Linked DNA regions of Pelodiscus sinensis. The protein of the gene in region 1 interacts with the protein of each later gene in a biochemical or structural test. Links are inferred from orthologs where the notes say so. Each region holds a gene or a part of one and is shown in the gene's direction. Other genes may lie near its edges.

The links. The genes of interacting proteins can lie anywhere in the genome.
Region 2: the proteins of LRRK2 (region 1) and YWHAZ interact on a protein array, tested with the Homo sapiens proteins (3 studies listed by BioGRID and IntAct, with this or other methods). The link is inferred for Pelodiscus sinensis from reciprocal best matches to the Homo sapiens genes LRRK2 and YWHAZ.

What each region holds. Positions count from the first base shown.
Region 1 is NC_134711.1:27,626,844-27,634,843, reverse strand, and holds the start of LRRK2 (leucine-rich repeat serine/threonine-protein kinase 2), read left to right. Parts: upstream 1-4,988; 5' UTR 4,989-5,255; coding exon 5,256-5,454; intron 5,455-5,539; coding exon 5,540-5,625; intron 5,626-8,000. UniProt on the Homo sapiens protein: Serine/threonine-protein kinase which phosphorylates a broad range of proteins involved in multiple processes such as neuronal plasticity, innate immunity, autophagy, and vesicle trafficking.
Region 2 is NC_134712.1:35,253,583-35,260,950, forward strand, and holds the start of YWHAZ (14-3-3 protein zeta/delta), read left to right. Parts: upstream 1-4,365; 5' UTR 4,366-4,460; coding exon 4,461-4,486; intron 4,487-4,892; exon of another isoform or gene 4,893-5,026; intron 5,027-6,816; coding exon 6,817-7,120; intron 7,121-7,368.

The sequences.
Region 1 (8,000 bases):
GTTCAGCAGTTTACCAAAATAAGCACAGAGAAAGCAGCCTGCGGTACTTCTACAAAAGTCTGGACAATGAAAAGTACAAAAATCTTATCGAACTTACACTGAAAACGTTCAGCATTTTTGGAAGCACTTACATATGTGAAGAAACATTTTCCACCATGAACATGAATAAAAACAAGCAACGTTCTTCTCTGACTGATGACCATTTGGAAGACATTATGAAAATATCCACTTCAAATATGACCCCCAAATACAACAAGCTTGTTGCTGAAAAGAGATGTAATATCTCTCATTGAGTTTGCAAGGTAATTAGGAAAAGTACAAATGTTTTCTTTCAATGGAACAGAAGTTTCAAAAAAACTTCACCCACATATAGACTGCCACCGTGTTCTTTCGAAAGTAAATCGAAAGAACACGGTGGTTTTGTCTTCCTCATTTTATGAAGAGATCTATCGAAAAAAGGCGTGTATAGATGCGGGGTTTGTTTGTTTGTTGAAAAAACAGGTCTCCAGGGAAAAGTCCTGGTGGACACTTCATCTGCAGGAGAAACCTCTATTGTCCCTGTCTGTAGCCATGTCTTAAAGGCACAGGCACCCTGGGCAGCCATTGTGGTAGGAAAGGCAGCCAGAGGAAGCCACTGACTTCATGGCTCTCCCTGCCTCTTTGCCAAGCCTTTTCCAAAAGATCCCTTATCCCTTATTTTAAGAGGGATAAGGGATCTTTCGGAAAAGGTTTTATTTTCCGAAAGATCCGCATCTAGACTGGCGCTTTTTTCCGGCAAAGCTCCGTGACGAAAAAAAGCGGCAGCCATTTTTATGCTAATGAAGCGGGGGAGATTTAAATCCCTGCTTCATTAGCAATTGCGATACGTCTAATTTGCATCCCTTTTACGAAAAAGGGATGCAATCTAGACGTAGCCAGGATGTACTCCAGAGACTTTTAAGCTAGTGGTTTATTACATCTCTGCTAAGAGCCTGCATCAAGCACTTGGTGACTGATGTATGTAATGTGCTTTCTTCAACAATTCTACTCTCAACCTTTTCTTTATTAACAAACTTTTAGATTTTAGATTCTAATGGACTGGTATGGTGTGTTCTTTTGGGTAAGATCTAAGGCAGAGGTAGGAACCTTTTTTGGGTCAGGGGCCACTGACCCACAGAAAAATCAGTTGGGGTCCACACACAAGCGAGAAGCATAAAAACCCACCAAAATCATCACTGATGTGGCCCCAACTAAGGAGGAGAAAGACACTCCCCACATTCCCCTTGCACACCATAGCTAGGGGGGCCTCGGCTAGTAGAGTTTGTGTGCTCCGGTCCCACAGGGGGACAGTAGGGGCTGGAGTGCCAGCACAGGCTCCCCAATGCTGAGGAGGGGCCTTGAGCTTCAAAGGTCAGATCCAGACAAGGCAGGGCCACATCCAGCCCCCGGGCCTTAGGCTCCCCACCCTTGAGCTAAGGTATAAATTGACCTGTGTCTGGTCCTTTAGAATCAGGAGAACCTGTTCAGAGCTGGTGAGATCTGTTTCCATAACTGCTCACATGTGTAAGGTATCATAGTGGTTGTGACGCAGATAATGCTGGCATGTCTAAAGGGATTGTTTGTGTAACTTTTCTTGCTGTCCAGATTGACAGCTAAAGTGTAGTTATAGAGGAAGGTGTAAATAGCCTGATTCTAAGCAATTTGCCCTGATTTGACCCTTTCAGCAGTGCACCCAGACCACCTGTTACATTACATTATGAAGATATGAAGATCCAAATGACCAATTATAATGAATCATTAACTTTCAACTCAAAAATTCAGTATGCAATTTAGTAATTATATCATTGATTGAGAGGACACTTTTTTCCCCCAAAAAGAGTTAAAATTTATTTATGGCAGCCACACACATGAAAATTAACACCCCATTACAAATATCATTACACCGTAATCACTCTTCAAAAAGGAAGGCATAGCATCCACAACAGAATTCAAATTAGGATTAACCAGTTATGTAAACAGGATTAGTAAAAATGTGCAATTTATGCTAGTTAAGATAAGCATTTGAGGAGATATAAAAACCCATAGTTGGTATTAGAGAGTCTTCCCAAAGGTGTAATTACTGACTATATAATTTACAGCATATTTTAAACTTTCCTCTGAAGTTTCTGGTGCCAACAACTGTCTGAAGGTCAAGACTGCAATGCATCTATCACCATTCCTTGAAAAGAGTGTTTGAACTATTAATTCTGCAGTAAGAAAACTGTATTAGATTTGCTGATATGGATCTATTTCTTATCAATCAACTTTGTCATTAGGAAAGTTAGCAGAAGTGAGAAACCATTTAACTAATTTCTAAATCTGAATCACTGTTTCATCAGACTGACACGTTGTCTTTTTAGGGCTTTGCCTTTCAAGGGAAACAAGCTAAAACTTCATGTCACAAATGCAGTCATGGTTTTGTGGTTGATAATTATTAAACCAAGATAAGAGTTTCTTGGTATAACACTTAAAAATATGGCTTGATTCAGATAGCACTGCCCTATGTTTTGAGTATCAAGTTGATACTAATAGTTCAAGGATAGTTTAGTCAACAAGCATTTGCAGTAACCAACGATTTGTAGGTGTTTCAGAATGCTTGTGTATAAAAAATGAAACATTTTAAAAAGAAGCATTAAGTTGGTGTTTTCTTCATGTGTTTTTATATTAAGCACTGTGCATGCTTTTCAGTAACCAGGGCATCAGGGTATAGGTAAGCATGAGAGCTTCAATAACTCCACAATCCTAGTTGCTCCTTCAAAAACGGTAAGGCAATCATCATGTTTAACAGAGAAAAACTTAATTACTCTTAAGCTGTATCTACACTGGCATGATCTTGTGCAAAAGCAGCAGCTCTTGCACAAAAACATGCTACTGTATATACTGGCCACGTGTTCTTGCGCAAGTAAACTGACGTTTTAATGTATGAAATCAGGGCTTCTTGTGCCAGAACTCTGACGCTCCCGCTCAGGAATAAGCCCTTTTGCGCAACTGTTCTTGTGCAAGAGGCCAGTGTAGACAGGCAACATGAATTTCTTGTGCAAGAAAGCCCTATGGTTAAAATGGCCATCAGAGCTTTCTTGTGCAAGAGAGCGTCTACCCTGGCATGGATGCTCTTGCGCAAAAGCACATCTCTTGTGCAAAAGCACATGCCAGCGTAGATGCTCTCTTCCGGAAGAGTTTTTGCAGAAGAACTCTTCCGCAAAAGAGTTCTTCCGCAAGCTGCCAGTGTAGACGTAGCCTAAAAGTATTCAATTTCTCTTCCTTTAGTCAGAAGAATTTTGTATTGGTTACAATTTAGTTACTAAAAATGTGATTTGTAGTATCAGGCTTGAAGCACTTAAAAAGGTGAAAAACAAAACTGGTGACAGTACAGGTTTGTTTTTGCAAAAGCAGCAAAGAGAAAGTGGCTGCTTTTGCACAAAATCTTGCCAGTCTAGATGCAGCCTAAAAGATTAAGAGTAAAAATTAGCAATACTTTCATTAACATACTGTTGCAAGCCCCATTTGTAGATGATTATTTTTCATGTGGCACCTTTTACAACTATTCTGGAGATGTGACAGACACATTGATGAATTTAAAGACAGATACACTAACAAGTTGGTTAGTACACTGAAACTCCTGTATTTTCTAGTTGTGTATTTATTACAAAAGAACAATCACAAGAACTTGAAGTTTATAAATTTTAAATCACATTATCACTGTTTCCCTTCCTGAATCCACTAATGGTGTGGCTAAATTAATTTCAAATAATTGTATATAATAGAAGCATGTGTGGCATGAAAATGAGAGACAGCTATCCCACTTCAAAATAATTTCAAACGTGGTGAGATCAGGGGTGGCCCATGAGCCTAGTCAGACTAGGCAGTTGCCTAGAGCGCCGCTGGCCCAGGCGCCCGATGATGATGTCATGGGGCGCCCTGTGATTACATCACAGACATTGACCGCTATGCAGGCAGGGGCACCAATTGCGCCTTCTGCCTGGGGCGCTAGCTGCTACAGCTGGCCTCGGGCCACTCCTGGGTGAGATGAGGGACTCTAGATCTTATTTTATTTTATACTTCAGAAATTTGCAGTAAATTCAATGCTTCTTAAGCCTCTGTCATATAAATAATAGATGATAGCTAGAGTTCATTAGCAGAGTTGCTCCTTTACTCAAAAGGAGGCGCTTTTTTTTGAAAGTCCCCTCATTCTGGAGATGGACTTAGCTAATTGCTTAATAGGCTTGCCAAATGGTTTCAACAAAAATATTGGACACACTTGACGTGACATCACAAGCTACATTACATCTTATTTAGAAACGACCATATTTATATTTTCTCAATTTGTTTCCCAAACAGGACTGTTCAGTTCAAAACCAGACACCTGGCAACCCTATGATTTGGAGCCTCTTGCCTGCAAAGGACAGCTGACTGTACTGGTACTGAGACAAGTACTGAGAAGTTCAAAGGCCTAGCCTAGGAGGTGCATGTTCTAACTTCATAGTAGCAGCAGCCAAGAGGAAGGATGGGGTGTCCGCAACAGCTATGCTCTGACCAGTAATCACAGCACCCAACCCAGGCTCTGAGGCAGCCTAACATGCCTGGGACCCTCCCATCTGGGGGACAGCTGGAAAATCAACTGTAGCCCTTCCTGAGACACATGGCGAGCCTGGAGCACAGCACCTTCTTGCTCAGCCAGGCCCCTTCTGGGGCCCACCCCAGCCACCCGCAGTGACTCCCCTGTTCGTACCCCATGAGACCCTTTTGCCCCATTCGTAAGGGCCCCAAAAGGGGCCACCACAGCTAGCTAGCTATGCCTTGGCCAGCCACCCTCGCGACCAACAAGAACGCGTCAGAAGCGCTACGTGGCTCGCCGCCCCCTTATGAGACCGAGAGAGGCAGGAAGGGGCGGGCCTCTCCAGAGCTCCCATGCGATTGGAGGGCGGGGCTGTCAGTGGCTGTAACTGATTGGTTGATGCTACCCTAACGCCCCCTCCCCACCGAATCCTGCTGGGATTGCAACGCGAGACTGTGTAGCGGGAGCGCCCTCTACGGGCAACCGGGCGGCGCTGCGGCCCCTTCCCCTCGAGCTGGGCCGGGCCTGCGGACACTCGCCGCAGATGTTGTCAGCGCTGAGGTGAAGGGGCGGGGATGCGGCTTAAAAATAGTCCGATGACTCCGGCGGCGGGGCTGAGCCGCGGCCCGCGGGATCGACATGGCGGCGGCAGCCGGGGAGCGCTCCCAGCACACTCGCTGAGATGAGGCGGGGCTCGGACATGGCCAGTGGAAGCCGCTGCCGGGAGGAGCAGCAGGAGCCGGAGGAGGAGGAGGAGGAGAGGGAGGAAGCCGCCCTGGGGAAACTGGTCGTTCGCCTGACGAACGTGCAGGAGGGGACGCAGCTGCAGAGCGTGCTGCAGACGCTGGAGGACTTGCTGGCCTTGGCCCACCGGCCCCGCGGTGAGGTTCCTGCCCGGGCGGGCGGGCCCCGCTACGGCTCCCCGGCTCGGCCCCGCGAGTAACCGGCTCTTTCCTCTCTCCTCAGCCCCCAAGCTCTTCGCTGGCCGGAACCTCCACGTGCCCTTGTTGCTGGTGTTGGACTCCCACTTGCGCGTGGCCGCGGTGCAGCAGGTAAACCCCTCACCCCTAGCTGGCAGACCCAGAGCCTGACACCGCCCCTTGGCGAGCCAGCCCCGAGCTCCCCGCAACTTGGCGGGCAGTTTGGATTCAGAGCCCAACTTGGCGGCTGGCGCTGGTTTTTAATGAGCCACATGGAAACTTCCTCGAGGTTTGGGACTGTCCAGCTCGGTCAAGTCTCCGCTCCTGGCCAGCTAGTAACAACAGACACGGGCGTCTTGTGCCAGACAGGCAGGTGTGAAGACCGCTAGACAGTGGTGCACAGGAATAGTCTCCTTGAAAATGCTGTTGCTGACCATATTGTCACCGCGGAGATGACATAGGGTGACAGTATTACTGTGAGATGAGAAATACAAAACTATAGCTCCAGGGCCCAAAAGTCAGCAGTTCTGTATAGTTACCATCAGGTGTTCCAGTAAATAACCATGTTAAAGAGAGATGTGCATTAAAAATAAATAAAATAGTAAATGGGGTATTATTAATCTGTGGAATTCAGTTATTTGTGTTGTGATTTCTTCTGTATCAAAGTACATGTTGGAAAACAGATTATAATAGTTACTACTGTTACATTATACGTTAAAAGTTTTTCTGTTAAAAGTATTTCTACAAAAGCCTGTCTAGTAAGGATGCTTTTGCGCAAAAAGTGCTTGCCAGTCTAGACGCACTGCTAATGTTCCTAATATAGTATACCACAGTCCTGGACCACGGCTCTAGAATATTAATGATTTTTAAAAAAAATGCTGTATGTAGTATTTACATTGTAAAGGATGGCTAAAGTTTTTTGTCAGCTGTTTGCTAAAAAGAATAATTTTGTCTCTTTTCCTAAGCTCTAAATCAAAATAAAGCAAAGTATGTTCATAAATTACATACGAACTATATTGCACAGATCACATATGATGTCATGCACTACAAACATTGTGATAATCCAATATTGTTTCTAAATGGAGCAGGATGTGTTAAGGAAGTAACATCTGTCTTTTATACCCACTGTCATGCTCAGGACAACTTCAGAAACAAAGCAGGGAAAGTTCTGTAGTTTATTCTGTTTGGTTACCTCTGTTATTTAAGGCTGACTCATTTTATATTAAATATTGCAGGTGCTTTCCAATGTCATTTTCACATTTGTTTTCAGACAGAGATCCTTCCTAGCAGTCAATCATGTAAAATAAAATGCATGTTATCCCCAAAAGATGTTTAAAGACATCTAGGAGGCTATGCCCTGCTCACTACACTCACCAACCCTCCTCTCTCCAGAGAGCCTGATGACATAATTCTGTCACATGCAGCAGAAAAAACTTTTGTGTATATATATATATGGAGAAATATGATCTCTGTAAGACTGGTTTGTATTTTCTAAAAATAAATGTATGATTTACATTTTTTTCACCTTTTAAAAGTTCAGTTTGTTCGGCTGCAAAATGTAATTCCCCCCATATCTATTTTAAATAATGGGAATGGTCTACATTAACAGATACACAAATTCAGAGTAAGCAGTAAATTGTATTCTTGATTTTTACCTGTCATGTATAGTTGTTACATTAATAATAACAATGAAAGTAATTTTTTGCACTATTATTATATCTTTTATTAGAGGATAACCAGGTAATGTGAGGAATCTGAAACTTTAATTCATAATTCACTATTCAATTATCACATAGGTAAAAAATTTGTATAGCCATTGCTTTTAAATTGGGTTGAACCTATCAGTTGTTTAGCAATAGCAGAATGGCACAGAAGTCAAGAATAGTAAGTAAAAGTACTTCAAACTGCAACTGTATGGGAAATTTTTAAAACCTGATAAAGAAGAAAGTGGTAACTATACCTGAACTGCAATTTGGCTAGGATGCAAGGGTAATATCTTTTAGTGTACTCTTAAAAATGGTTTTAAAATGAAGTTTCAGCCTCTTATCTGAATTTCTTAGCCTTCGAGAGTTTACTTTAGACTTTTTATAGCTCTTTAATATTGTTTTAACCAAGGACTTAGCCAGATGCAACTCAAAAACTTAATGTCACGAAGTGCTGCAACCATCCTTTCCTCTATTCCCTAATGCTATAACAAATTTAAAAATATTCTACACTAACTATACTCTATCTTCCCTGCTTCATCCATTGTGATTCACTTGTGGGAGTCTTGAATCTGAGTTTGTGGCAAGGACTGTAGATGCTGTGTGTAGATCCCCTGTTAGTGTAGGCATGCTGTAAAGGTGTAACCAAAACAACTGTTTTTCATTGCACAGGTTAATAGAGCAGTAGCTCTTTCTAATTTGTAGCACAAAAGTGAAATTGACCAATGTTTTGAAATAAGTTGAAGTAAGGGCGGTGTCTGGATTGATTAATATATTTCCTTCTGGCTGAGCTTGCCACACAAT
Region 2 (7,368 bases), on another chromosome or scaffold:
CCCAGACTGGAAAATTACCATTGGAGGAACTGAAATGCCAATTGTGATCCTTAGTGACTCAACCTACCGCTTGCTCAAGAAGCTGTACACAGGCAGTCTGGACCACACTAAAGAGCAGTTATAGGCTGAGCAAGTGTAGAATGGGGATAGAATGTGCACTTGGACTAGGGATGTTAAATATGGTTAATTAAGTAACCATGTAACCACTGAAAATCTTAGTGGTTATACCAGCGTTTCTCAAACCCAGGGGGGTCACAAGCAACTTGGGGGAGGGGGTCACAGGACATTCCATTTTTGGGGGGTTTTGGGATAGTCCGGTAAAAAAATGGAAAAAATACCAGACATGTGGAATGTCCAGTATTTTCTAGTTTTCTGGCTGGGCGCCCGACGGAAGCCTGGAGGAGGCGGGAGGAGTGGCTGGGAGGCAGGGCGCAATCAGCACTGAGAGCCTCTGGTTGCGTGTGACACCTTGGGGAGGAGGGGAAGCCCTGTACGTGTTCCTGAGCGCTGGTCAAGCGCGTTGTGGAACCTCAGCCAAACTCACTCGCGCTTTGCCGAGACTATGCGTGGGACGGGCAGCACCCTGGGATCTGCACGTGCCTGGGTCAGTCCTGCTCCCCGCCGGCAAATTCGCCCCCCCCCCCCCCGCCGTCCAGTTCTCCCCCACTTCTCCTCCCAATCTTCCCCGGCCAGCCCCGCTACCCCACCAGCCCTGCTTTCGGGGGCCAGTTCTCCCCTCCTCCTCCCGATGTCCCCCAGCCAGCCCCCAACCCCCCACCAGCCCTGCTTCCCGCTGGCCGGTTCCCCCGCGATCTCCCCTGGCCAGCCCCAATGACCCCCCAACTCCCCTGGCCAGCCCTGCTGCCCCCGCCAGCCCTACTTCCAGTGGCCAGTTCTCCCCTCCTCCTCCTGATGTTCCCCAGCCAGCCTCACTGCACCCAACCCTCCACCCCACCAGCCCTGCTTTCCGCCGGCCTGTTCCCCCACACAGCCCTGCTGCCCCCAACTCCCCGTTTGCTTGTGTAGCAGTGAGGATGGGGGGGTCACACAAATTCACTTAGAATTTTAGGGGGTCGTGATATTACAAAGTTTGAGAACCCCTGGGTTACACGATTACATGCTGTGGGCTCTGCAGTATACTGCAGAGCTTGCAGCGCAGCCAGTTCCCCGGGAGCAGGGGCGGCAGTCAGCACACACTGGGAGCCGGCTCCTAGCTGCTGGACCCACTCCAGGGGAACCAGCTACACTGCAGGCTCTGTAGTATAAGCTTTATACTCTGGGGGAGCCAGCTCCCAGCATATATCTCCTCTTGCCTGCCAGCACTGCTCCCAGGGAGCTGGCTGCTGCCCTGTGCTGCTGCCTCTGTCCGTGCACTGCCGCTCCCCCAGCGGAGTAGGAAGGGGTGGGGGGAGAAAGGGCCGTGCACAGAGTGCACCAGCAGAGCCCAAGCGCTCCCTGCTCTGCAGAGCTCCAGTTGGGCTCTGCGTGGTCTCTGCCGGGACTCCGGCAGCAGCTCCCAGGAGTGGTTCATCAGCTCCAACCAGCGCCCCTCCCCCTCCGCCAACAGCGGCAGCCGCCTGTGGATGATGGAGGCCGGCTGGAGGCTGCACACGGCAGAGGCAGTCCCATGGTGGGAGCGAAGGGCGTGCCGGACAGCAGCGTGTGCTGCAGGGGAGCTTGGCACTCTGGACACTGCGCACCATCCTGGGTTCCCACGCAAAGCAACAAGGGAGCCGCTTACGTGCTGAGTGGTGCTGGGGCATTACTGCTGCACTGCACTAGTACTAGGTGTCTGCGAGGGAGCCCCAGAGAGGGTGGGAAATGGCAGTTCTGTTTGTAGCTGGATCCCAACAGGTTTTCTGGGACATTTGCCACCTTTATTGGGACACCAGGACAGAACCCTTAAATCTGGGTCTGTCCTGGAAAAAAAGGGCTGTATGGTTACCGTATGCATAACACTTCTGAAAGTAAGGGAGGGAAATTTCATGTCAGATTGGGAGGTGGGACTTGAGGCAACTTGCCTAGCCACTAATTGTGAGAAACCAGACATCAGGGCAATAAGGTGAACACAGCAAGGGACACTGATAATCAGAGAGGTTTTGAAAAACAGGTTTGTGAATGACCAGACAGTGATATGGCAATCTTGTATGTTACTTTATAGGAGATGCCCCCTGCATTAAGTGTGCTGGCCTGTAAACCCTGTGACCGGCGCAATCTGCCCTATTCCCCCATGCAACAAAAGCAATAAAGATACTGTTGTAGAGAAACTTGTATTTAAGGATCACAAGAAAGCAGAGACTGAAAAGGAATTCCGAGTGAGAGCTGGGGCAAGGGGAGAGAAATCACTGAAGAGGAAATTCCAGTCTTCTGTTCTGGAAGACCCAGACTGTCCATTTGCCTCCTTTGTCTTTTGATACGCTGCCTGAGTTTCTTTATTTCCATGTGGCACTGCTGGGCATCCCTGGTGTATCCTTTTTCCACCATGCCCTGTGTAATCTTGCATTGATATCAGCATTTCTTTTTTTGGTTCATAGTTCTACCTACATAGATTCATCTTCCCCATTTTTTCAGGGATTTTCCTTCATACTCAGAGATGAGCTAAATTGAAAGTACTGGCCCTAGGGGCTACACGGGGGCACGGTGGGACACCTTCCAGAGGCCAAGAACATTGACTTTTAAAGCACTGTATCTGCACTACCCTACAGTTAAACTTAAAAAACAAAAGCTGATTGGGTAGCACTTTATAGACTAACAAAACATCGAATTTAACTTTGCTTCTTGCAAAAAGCAAGAGTACTGCAATCAACTTTAACAGCCCTTCAAGTCAGGGGAATGGGGTTGGTGATGTGGACTCTTTGTTTAGCAAATCAACTTAATGCAGCTAAGTTTGACCTAAACTGGTAGTGTAGTCAGAGTTCAGTGCAGCTTCACCTTCACCTTCAAGTCCGTATTCTATGGAGAGCAGGGAGGTGTTGTAGGGTGATCTCCATGCAGCCAGGGGCATTTGCTTTGCACTGCCATGCTGGTGCCTGCACATTTATTGACAACAATGAGATTTGCATATTATAGGCAGAAACTTTTTTAGTGGAGAATTTTTAATTTTTGGAGCAGAATTCCCTGGGGAGCATCATAATCTTTGACATGTTTGAAGACTGTAATCATGTCCCTCCCCAATAGTCTTTTCTCTGATTAAACATACCCAATTCTTTCAACTTTTCCTCTTAGTCCACGGAGGGCCCCAGTGTGCAGGGTGGGGGGACAAAACATTTTCTGGCAAGGTGATCTGGCTGTCGATCATCTGATCGGGGAACTGCAGCCTGACCATTTTTAGATCATGTGGCAATTTTCTTTCTGAGGAAGCCTTCCTCCCAGAAGTCCCGCTCACGGCTCAAAGCCCTTTCTGCTCTCAAACCCTTCCCTACACTTCCTCCCGAAAGCCCAGCCCGGCTAGCCCAGCAGAGCGCCGACCCCAGAAAGGGAGACGCACGAGAGACTCCAGCAAGGCCGCTAGGCTGGCCTCTGCTATTGCTGTGGATTGGCTGTGTCGGGCGCTCAGCTCCTCCCGCGATGGGAGCAGCCTGCAACTCAGACCGATGGATGCCGGCTTTGTGCTGCAGAGCTCGGCTCCCCGAAGCGCCCCTCCGAGCCGCGCGCTTCCTCAGACGGCTCTGCAACGTGGGGCGGCACATGGGAGCCCGGGCTCCGGAAGGCCGCCGCAGTCGGGGCTGTCTGAACTGAGAATCGGCCCCGCCCCTAGCGAGCAAGGCTGGTCTCCCAGCCCAGGGCGGGCCCGGCCGGCAAGAGGGAGAAGGCGGCAGAGTGGCAGGGCGGTATGGGGGATGGGAGGCTCGGTGCGCGGCCTCTCCCAGCCCCGCCGCCAGGGGAGCGGCGCGCGGGCCGCGAAGGCGCCTCACTCACTCACGCGCTGCAGTCAGAGGCAGAGGCGCGCGCGCCCGCGGCAGGGGCTGTGGTGGCCGGGCTAGGCGTGTCCCCCGCGGTGGTGCGCGCGCCGACGCCAGCGGCGGTTGGCGCGGCCCCCGCTCTGTGGGGCGGAGGGGAAGGCGCGGGCGCAGGCGCTCGCTCCCTCGCGGTTGCCATGGCCCCGTTTGACGTCACGGGCAGTGTGGTGCCCGTGCGTTGCGGCGCAGTGATTGGCGGAGACCCCGTGTGCGGCGCTGGAGAGAGGCTGCAGCGGAGAGAGCAGCAGGGCTAGAGGTACAGTCCGCGCCGGCTACTCGCCCAGAGACACTCGCGCCGCCGCTTCCTCCTTACGCAGGTAACCGGGCCCACGGCAGCGCTAGTCCCACGGGGCGCCCGCGAGGGCGGAAGGAGCTGGCGGGGCAGCGGAGGCCCCCTCCCCCCGCGGTCCTTCCGCAGGCAGCAGGGCGGCTCCCCGCGCCGCGCTCCCGAGGGCAGGGCGCCGGGGAGCCGGCCGCCGGGCAACTGTGCCGCCGCTGCGGATGTGGCCTCGGCCGCCGCTGCACAGGTGAGGCCGGATCCGCCCCGCCCTGTCCCGGCCACTAGGCGGCTGCCCGGGGAGTGGGAAGCGGAGCCGTTGGCGAGGCGGGGGCAGCAGCGTGTGACCCGGGGCAGGGTCAGCGGGGGCTGCTGCTCTCGCCGGGCCCTGGCAGGTGAGGCTGCGGGGGGTGGCTCGCCGGGCCGGGGAGGCAGCGGGCGCTTGGGGAAGGCAGGCGCGACCCTCCCCACCTGGGCGCGCGGGGCCCTGCGGGCAGGGCGCGGGCGGCTCGCTGGCTGGGTGTGGCCTCCCGCCGGCCGAGCGGGGTTCCTGGGGCCCCTCCTGCGGTGGCCCCGCCCCGGATCCCGGCGCTGGTCACTGGGGGCCCCGGCCGCGGGGAGTGTAATGGGCGCTGTGCCGGGTTCCCGAGTGGCCGCGGCAGCTCCTGCAGGGCGGTGACTGCGCTGGCGCCGTGGGGCGGGCTCCTCGCCCCCGTGGCTGCGGCTTTCCCTTCCGTCGCTGTGTTGGGGCGGGGGCTCGGCGGCCGCCTCCCCACGGCGCTGGGCTGAGGTGAGCGGGGTTAGCGCGTTAGCCCGGTGGGCTGGGCTCTGGCATGGATCCGCCATGACAAAGAGCCCGGCGGAGGCGCTGCCTGTCTCGGAGCCGGGCGGATGCGGCGGCGGCCGCAGCGCGGGAGGGGCGGCGGGAGGAGTCTGGCCCGGTCGTCCCTCCTCGCCCACGCCGTGTCGATTTCGTGTTGTAGCCGCCCAGTTCCCCGCCGCCCGCGCTCCGTGTAGCCGTGCCCACTGCAAGCGCGGCCCTGCGCTGCGGCGAGCTCAACAGCACCATTTTATGCTGTCAAGACACGATCTAGTGTATAGAGAAATCGACTGGCATTTTCCCATCCTCGCGGTGCTTCATTAAAGTAGCTTTTCCTCTGTTAAAGTGCAGCAGTGCTGGCTAGGATCATGGCGTGCTAGTCTAGTGGCGTTGGCTAGCCAATAACCACAGTTTGATAAACTGGCTTTCAGATAAGATTTTAACTATTTGCCTGTCTAATCTATTCTGGGTGGTAACAGCTGTAGGTGAAACCATTCTGTAAAATGGCTTCTTAGCAGTGTTTGCAGTATGGTCAAAGGCCTTAAACCACCCTGGCAAATATTACAGAGAAATGGGAGCAACTAGTGTTGGTTAAAACAGCTACTGAAACGTGCTATAAATAACCTTGAGATGATCTGATCTCTGAAAAAGATCCAAATTTATTTCATTGAGTTTAAATACAAGAAATTCTATTCCAGGTAGTCTTATGTGAAATATCACTTGTATAAGCCAAATCAAAACTGTTGGGGTCAATGTTATGGCAATTGGAATATGTAACATAAAAACACAGTATGCTTAGGTGAAATGATTTTTCACTTTTTAGCCTCTGCAGTTAGTATACTAATGAACCATATAGCTAGTGCATATTGTAGGGCTCAAAATAATTATCAGGAGCCAAAAATTCATGAAGTGTGTGTGTGTGGGGGGGGGGAAGATTCTGACCAGTTAGAGATACAAAAGGGTGTGCTTTAATCAAGTTAGGTTAGTATGATTGAAAGGGCTTGTTAAGATGCAGTCCTGAAGGGCTACAACACACCCAACTAACATTTGCATCTCAATGATGGTTTTCACTCAAATTGAGCAATTTAACCCATCAAACCATCACTAGAGAGTTAGAAGAGCAATGCCCAGGTGAGAAGCTTAGAGTCTCCCATTCTAGCATGGGTGTATAATTAGGGCCTGAATTGTAATATTAACCTCTGGGTGTCTGAAAGTTTAAAAGCAGACTTCTTCAGGGAGTAGAGTTCTCTGCTACTACTTCAGTCTGGAGGGTTTTTTTTTAATTTCTATTTTTCATTTTTTGGGGTGTTTTTTCTCTGAACTGCTTAAGGGTAAGTTACTGATGCTCTCTCAATTTGTTCTCTAATCATCAGAATAATGCAACTGAAGAAGTTAATGATGCTGCTTGGAAGTCTGAAGAGAATTCTGAGCAGTGGCAAGAGTTGTCACTACATACTTGAACAGCACAGAAATGGTGCCCCTTAACATTCTGAATGTGGTGATTTTTTTTTTAACAAATGATTATCAGTACTAATTAAATAAAGGTTTGAATTTGTAGAAATATCATAGCTTGAACACTTCCAAGTCACTAGTTTTATATATATTCCAGCATTCAGGGCCAATTTAGAGTGCCTTAATTGCATAATGACAAGCTAGAATATTGCATATTTTTTTAAAAAAAGACTTGTTTTATATATATGAGGCTATTTTGCCCTTGATGAATATTGTTTGAATAATGCCTTCGTGTTTTCCCTCTTCAGCAAAATCAGCATGGATAAAAATGAGCTGGTGCAAAAGGCCAAACTGGCTGAGCAGGCTGAGAGATATGATGACATGGCAGGCTGCATGAAGTCTGTGACTGAGCAAGGAGCTGAGTTGTCCAATGAGGAGAGGAATCTTCTCTCTGTTGCTTACAAAAATGTCGTAGGAGCCCGTAGGTCATCTTGGAGAGTCGTCTCAAGTATTGAACAAAAGACGGAAGGTGCTGAGAAAAAACAGCAGATGGCCAGAGAATACAGAGAGAAAATTGAGACAGAGCTAAGAGATATCTGCAATGATGTGCTGGTGAGAGATAATAAAACTGTATTTAATTCATGTTTTCTTAATATTAGGGGATAAATAGTTTTGACCCTGTTCAGCTATTTTTCAGTCCCTTGCTAAAAACTGAGGCATTCCATGCAAGGCATCCAAATCTTGCAAATACCACCACTTCTGAAAAACAAAGTTGGATAACTGGATGGCGCCTCATCCTTAAATATATAATTCCAAAACTTGTATTAAAGTTCTCATGGGCATCAACTCTTAACATATTT